Cricetulus griseus: one gene and its partner. The protein of the gene in region 1 purifies or fractionates together with the protein of each later gene. This does not show direct contact. Links are inferred from orthologs where the notes say so. Each region holds a gene or a part of one and is shown on either strand. Other genes may lie near its edges.

The links. The genes of interacting proteins can lie anywhere in the genome.
Region 2: the proteins of Smarcb1 (region 1) and Bcl7a purify together in Homo sapiens (affinity purification with mass spectrometry; 7 studies listed by BioGRID and IntAct, counting the BioPlex papers as one, with this or other methods). This does not show direct contact. The link is inferred for Cricetulus griseus from reciprocal best matches to the Homo sapiens genes SMARCB1 and BCL7A.

What each region holds. Positions count from the first base shown.
Region 1 is NW_023276806.1:262,704,364-262,708,010, reverse strand, and holds part of Smarcb1 (SWI/SNF-related matrix-associated actin-dependent regulator of chromatin subfamily B member 1), read right to left. Parts: intron 2,828-3,647; coding exon 2,689-2,827; intron 1,056-2,688; coding exon 926-1,055; intron 1-925.
Region 2 is NC_048597.1:103,112,931-103,116,677, reverse strand, and holds the start of Bcl7a (B-cell CLL/lymphoma 7 protein family member A), read right to left. Parts: upstream 2,644-3,747; 5' UTR 2,130-2,643; intron 2,103-2,129; exon of another isoform or gene 2,017-2,102; intron 1,903-2,016; exon of another isoform or gene 1,865-1,902; intron 1,859-1,864; exon of another isoform or gene 1,745-1,858; 5' UTR 1,741-1,744; coding exon 1,649-1,740; intron 1-1,648.

The sequences.
Region 1 (3,647 bases):
GAACACATGTAAAACATGGAGGGCACTGATTCTACAAAGCTGTCCCCTGACCTCCACACGCATGGCATGTCACACACGTGCAATCTCTCCAGCCTACAATAATACAACTTTTAAAAGTTATTTTTAAAAGACAACTCCAGCGGCAGAGGCAGGCAGACATCTGAGCTCGAGGCCAGGAAGGTCTACAGAGTGAGCTCCAGGACAGCCAGGGCTACATAGAGAAACCCTGTCTTGACTGGGTGGTGATGATGCACACCTTCAATCCTAGCACCAGTGAGTTCAAGGCCAGCCTGCTCTACAGAGTGAGTTCTAGGACAGCCAGGGCCACAGAAAAACCCTGATCAAAAAAAAAAAAAAAAAAAAAAGAAAAGAAAACCAAAAACACCTGTTTGGACCTGAGGAGGAGATGGTTCAGTTGGTAGAGCGCTGCTCGTGTGCACAAAGTCCTGGGTACCATCCCCAGCACTATTATAATTAGGCATGATGGCACACACTTGTAATCAAAGCATCGAGGAGGTAGAGGCAGGAGGATTCTAACTTTAACACCATACTTAGCTACACCGCAAATTTTAAGACCAGCCTGGGCCACATGAGAACTGTCTCAAAAAAGAAAGAAGGAAAAGGTTTTTTCAAAGTTCTACCTGTGTGTATTCAAATCTATTGTTTCTTTTGGAAGTTTATCTGAGTCACAATTTTTTTTGGGGGGGGGCAAATGAGTCCCAGATTCAGAACATTCCAGAACTCAAGACTTGGCCTATGTTTGTTAAGAATGTCAAAGATACAGAAGAAACTTAGAAACCAAGGTCAGGCAATTATAAACATAGTGAGTGAGCAACTTTCACTTTACCCTGTTCTTCAGGATGAGACCCCCACACACACATACCCCCACATGTCTCTGGAGCAAACTGAGATTAGGAAGGCATACCTGAGGTAGGTGGGGGGCTCTGTGCTGATGGACACAGCCTTGTATTTCTCATCGTTGCCATCCAGAATCTCTTCTACCTCCGAGGCTTTCAGTAGCGTCACGCTGGTGGCGAGGGTGGTGTACCCATGATCTGTAAGCAGAGAAACCCCACTGTGGTCATCCTGCAGCAGTGTGAACAAGCTGACAACCAACTTGATACAGCACACGAGGTCCTCACATGCAGGAGGTGGGGAAAGCAAGGTGTCAAACTCAGTACTGCTGAGTGCTAGCCTCTTCCAAAAGGGCAATCCGGACTGAGGCTTTACCTAGACATCTCAGTGGAGAAAGCCTCTGGTGGGATGGATTTGGACGAATTTGCCTCTTAAGAGCACTAGCTCTGGGGCAGACATGTTTGGGGGTAGCTGCAGCTTAGGGGCTGCCAGGAAGGCTTCAGAGTAACACCCCAGTGGGAAGAGGTCTGACACCACCACAATCTAAAACACAAAGCAAGATGGGAGACAGAATGAAAGATGAATCCTCTTCTTTTAAAACAAGAGCCCAGAGAGTTGGAAAGAACTATTTCACACCAAGCAAAAGTTACCATCCCTGAGTCAGGCCAGATGTGGTTGTCTGGAAAACAAGACAGAACTTCACACCACGTGATATGCCTCCCCCCCCCTCCCCGCCCAGTTCTAGGGAACCTCTGTCAAGCGCTGCTACTTATCTGCAGGACCTGCTTAGCTTTGCTGGAGGACTCACTTGGTTATAGGAAAGGAAGGCACATGGTAGCAAGACCACTAAGGCTTCATGGGAACTCAAGGAAGGGCAGGCAAAGCTAGGTAGCCACCATGCTAGTGACTATATTCCACTTTTGGCAGAGGGGACACAAAGGAAACTGTTTCAGGCAATAGTGGATTCTTTCAGAAGTGGATAAAAAGCAGCTCTGGCTCCTGCATTAAAAGAACCCCAATACACCACAACAGACAACTACATTAGCACATTAGCACCTACTGACAAGACAGACTACAGAGTGCTCATGAGCACGCATGCATGCACGGACACATGCACCCAGGCCCAGGGCAGCTCTCTACAGGGTGCCTCTGCTGAGTGGAAAGCAGTTTTGCCACCGGCCAAATGGCATGTTGCGCCCATACCCAAATGTTCTTCCTAGAGGCCCCAAAATGTATGAAGAGCATCTTCACTCTGCACAGAGTTGCCACAGCCCAGACCTTGCACTAGTTTCACTAGCACCAGGTGGCTCACCTAGCAAGCCCCAGGCACAGGGCAGGCCACGTGGAATGGGTACATGCACATGAGCTTAGCATACTGGTTGCCAAGATGAAGTATTATGAGATAAATGTGCTCTGGGAGGGAAGCGGTGAAAGCCCCAGAAGAAAGTGAGGGCTGGGGCCACCGTCTGCTACTAGGGCTGCAAGAAGGACGACTACGGCAACACACTCACAGCAAATGGTAGCAAATCACAGCATTCCTAAAACGTTTTGAGACCAACATGTCTTCACAGCACCTGCTACTACCCTGGCCCTGGCCCTGGCCCCTCACATACCCACTGGCCCAGCCAGGAACACACAACAGTGGAGCACCAAAGACTCGCTGAGCTACTCTCAACTGAACCATGTGTGCGCTGGCAGGGTGGCCTGCCCCTGGGATGCTCCCTACCGAACTAAGGTCAGGCTGCAATGAAGACACTGGAGTGAAAACGTTTTATCTTCATGACATAAGCGAGTGGTTTTGAAACAGGTTTACAAACCCTCGTGAAGACGCACCCTTAGTGTTAGGTTTTGTTTTTTTACCATGTGACGATGCAACTATTTTCTTCCTCTCTTCCACAGTGGCTAGTCGCCTCCAGAGTGAGGGATATCTCTTGTACAGAGAACCTCGGAACATACGGAGGTAGTTTCCCACCTATGAGTAAAGCAAGAAGGCTCATTATGAGGGTCAGACCATCGATCACTATGCCGAAGGGCTCTGGCAGAGAGGATTTGCTGGATCAAGTACATGAGATACAAGGCCTCCAGACGCCAGCCTGTCAGCAGCCATAAAACACATTTTGCTGACATCAAGGGTTCAACAGCAGTGCACATCTGGCTGGAATCTGTGTATCCTGACATCAGAACCAAGTTCCAAAAGATCTGACCAGATGTCTATTGGGGAGGATCCCAGACCTCAGTAAGGAGCTTGTGATGTCGATCAGGACGAAAGATTTCTTGGCACTTTTCTGAAATCTGAGACTCCTGTGACCTCCTTTCATCTTAAGAAGCAGACTTTGATATTTTTACAAGGCAATAAACACCAAAATGTCTTTAATTTTAGACAGATGCAAGATAATTTGTCCCGCTGCCTGTGTTGCTTTATTTAGTAACAAAACTCAAACCAGAGACACCAAAAGAATTTTCTCAAGTCTAAAAAGCCCTATATTAGTAATCCCTGGACTATCTTAGAAATCACTACTTCCCCCGAGTAATAGCTTAGTTTGCTTGTAGCAACACTTAAGGACACCCTTCATGAAAAGCTAGTCCTATGATTTTTATAAAGATCCATGGCCTCACTGACTTCAGAAATGATGTCTGCAGTGTCACACAGTGGGGACAACCAGGGGACACGGTGCAAGGTGCTGGCTCCAGCTGCAAATCTAGGCCTCTTTACCTATGTAGCCTTGGCTAGCCTGTAACTGGTTATGTACACTAGGCTGGCCTTGAACTCACTGGGATGGGCCTGCCCCTGC
Region 2 (3,747 bases), on another chromosome or scaffold:
TTTTCCTCTGTGTTTTGGCCTGCAGCTGTTTCTGCCATTTTTAAATGGCTCCAGTTGGGCACTGGGCGCCTTGCTCAGCAGGGGAGCTCCCGGCACCCAGGACTTGGATCTCAACTTTGGAAAGCCTCCCCTTCTCACGGTTGTGAAAATTCTTTGTCCCACTGGAGCCAAACCCAGCCCACGGCAGGCATCCGGCCATCCGAAGACAGCCCTTTCCATAGGAGGCCCGGGAGCACGTGGACTTTATTGATTTTTCTCCTTGCCTTTTTTTTGTTGGGTTTCACTCTGAAAGGACAGCTAACTTGTGACACCACCAGACCTGAGACAGGCCCCCGAGTAGTGTTTTTTTTTTTTTTTTAAAGGCAATAACAACAGCGGCGTTACTCAAGAAATGACACCCCCCAAAGAAACAGCCTGCAGCGGGGCCTGGCCAGTTCCTATAAAGGACGGGACCAGCCCACGGCCGCTGACACTTAGGGGCACCCTCGCGGCTGCTCGTCTCCCTCTCGGACCCTGATGAAGCCGTGAGAAAAAAAAAAAAAAAAAGACATAATAAAGTTGAAATTGGGGAGCAGGGAGTTTTCAACAAGTCTGACCCAACCTGGAGGTGGACTACTGGCGCCTCCGGCCTGGCCTCTAGGGCCTCCTGGGAGTCAGATCCCGACGAGGCCCGTGAAAATGTTCCATCCTGCTAATTATAACGAGGCCACGCCGGGCACGATCTAATTTGAGCTTGAAAAACACGCACGGCCCACACCGAATCTCGCGGTCCCCTCCTCCTCCCCCAGTGCAGAGAACAAAAACAACGGTCGCTCGCTCTCTCCGCAAAACAAACACCAGCTCCAGCTCGGAGAAGGCAGACACGGCCCAGGACTTGGCTTCTGGCAGCAAACATCGCGTCCCCCGAGCTCCGGGTGCCGCGCGGAGCGGGTGGGAGCCGCGGGTGCCCCGCTCGCCAGCCGCGCCACCGCCTTCCCAGCGCTCGCCCCCATCTTCCTTCCTCGCCCGGAGCCCTCGCTCCAGGCTGCCCAAAGCGCTAAATTTAAACGGCTCGCGCTCTGCAAACTCCGCAGACTCGAGGGCGCCGAGGCCCGGGAGGCGGGGAGCTGCGGGCGGGTCGGGTCGGGGCGTGGGGTGTGTGTGTGTATGTGTGTGTGTGTGTGTGTGTGTGTTTTGGGGGGACACCGGCGCCGCGCCGCCCCGGGAGGAGACGGCGGCCCGCTCCGCGCCGCACAATGGAGCTCGCGCTCTGCCCGCCGCCACCGCCGGCATCACGGCCCCGGCGCGCGGGAAGCCGCTTTCATGTGACTTGCACAAAAAAACGAAATGGCTTCTGGGGCCGGCCGCGAACCCCCCTCTCCCGAGCTCCGAGCTCCGGGTTGCAGCCGCCGTCGCCTTCGCCGCCGCTGCCGCTGTCGCCGCCGCCGCCGCCGCCGCCGCCAGGTGGGCGACCCCGCGCCAAGCACACCTGGGCAGCGGACGCAGCCCCCGCGGGGCGCAGGTGACCCGGGCCGCGCGTCCTCGCCAACTCCGGGCCCGGGGCCGCTGCGCCCCGCGGTTCCGTGAGCTGGGTCCGGGCTAGCCAGCGGCCGTGGCGCGGTGCAGCGAGCCGGGGCGAGCGAGAGAGCGAGCAGGCGCCTCGGCTTACCATTTGCGCACTTTCTCGATAGCCGCCATGACCCTCTTGATATCATCTTTGGCCCGGCTCCTGGTCTCGGCTCGAACCGACCTGCCCGACATGGTTCTGGCGGGGAGGGAGAGAGAGAGGAGAGAGAGAGAGGCTGGGGGAGCGCGCCCGCCGGGTCCTGCTCGCCACACTCGCCCGCTCTCTCACTCGCGCACAGACACACACTCACACACATACGCGCACACACAAAGCCTGGTGCCGCCGCGCGCCCGGGGCCCAGTGCGCAAGCGCCGGGCGGCAGCTGCACAGAGCGAGGGGGAGCGGCGCGGCCGCCACTAGTGCGGCCTCCGGGCGCCGCCGCCCTCCCCGGGGAGCCTCGGGGACCTCACCCAGGGAAACGATCAGGGATGACCGCGACCTCCCAGCACGCGGGACTGGCCCGCGCGCCGACTCCCCCGGAGGCCGCGGATGTGGTGGGAACCCCTCCCCCCAAGACACACACCCTGGGGATGGCAGACAGGAGGCCGTGGGTGCCCTGGCCTTGGGTTGGTGGCCTCGGGTGCGATCGTGCAAGTTACTTGTCGGGCGCTTGACTTCTCAGAGTTGGAGGCGGTGGTTCCGGACTCGTGATCTTGGAAAGAGTTGAGGTGCCGGTTTCTGGCCAGCTAGCTGCCTTGTTGAAATGTGCGAGCTAGGACGTCTGCCTCACCATGATCAAACTAGGGTCGCAGTTTAAGGTGCCAGAGGCCGGTGGCTGTAGGCATTGTCGCAAGGCTTCCTTTTCCTTGGAGATAAATTGTCCCAGTCGGGGATAAAGCTCGCTGGCGTAGGTCACAGGACCACAAATTAATCTTAAACGGCTCCTGGTGGAAGCGCAGTTTACTGACCGGGAGCAGCTGGTAAACTGGACTGGTCCAACTCAGAAAGACTTTTGAGGGGCTGTTCCCGATCCCAGGACAGAACTAGGTGGCAGAATCTACTGCGGTCAATTAGGATAGGGACAGATAGGTAGGCAGCTGAGGCTAAACCGACTGGACCAGAGCAAATGCTTGCCCAGGTGGATGCTGGGAAAAGAGATGACCTAATGTGAGCAAACCAGTGCCTGGAGAAGAACTAGCCCAACTCAAGTCATTTCACAGGTGGGGAAACTGAGGAAAGGAGTTATTCCAGGTTGCAGCCATGAACTTCTTCTGTGACGGCATTGATTGTGTTACCCCCTAAAGTTTGGGGACGGTGCTGGGGTCTGGTAGAGAGAGCTAGCGGAGAATGAGAACAAAATGTATGGGCTTTCCCCCCAAGCACATCATTTTACCATTTCAATCACATGGCCCTAATGTGAAAAATAAAAATAAGAACAGTAGTCCGGCATGGTGGCCTACTCCTTTAATCCCAGCACTTGGGAGGCAGAAGCTGGCAGATCTCCGTGAGTTCAAGGCCAGCCTGGCTTATGTAAGGAATTCCAGGCTAGCCAGGACTAAATAGTGAGACCCTGTCTCTAAATAAATAAATAAATAAATAAATAAATAAATAAATAAAATCAAACACCCAGGTTGTGGTGGTGCACCCCTTTAATCCCAGCACTCAAGGCACAGGCAGGTGGGCCTCTGTGAGTTTGAGGCCATCTGGGCCTATAGAGTGAGATCTAGAATAGAGAAACCCTGTCTTGAAAAGCAAAATAAACAAAAAACTAAAACAATTATGTTAGAGAACCATTCTGAGTGCTGGATTGGAAAATATGCCATAAATCAGAAGTCTCATAATTTTGACCCTCAGTTCAATTCCCTGCTTGGGCCTGAGGGAATTAGTTTTTGTTTAGTGCTAGACAAGTGCTGTTCCATAGTTCCCACATAGAATGTGTGTGTGTACATGTGTATGTACATGTATGTATGTATGTATATACTTTAAAAATAAGACATAAACAAATCCACACATCAGGTCAGCAAGACAGCTTAGTAAATGCACTTGTAGCCAGGTGATGGTGGCACACACTTTTAACCCCAGCATTTGGGAGGCAGATGAAGGCAGATCTCTGTGAGTTTGAGGCCAGCCTAGTCTACAGAAGGAGTTCCAGGACATGCTCCAAAGCATGTTACACAGAGAAATCCTGTCTCAAACAAACT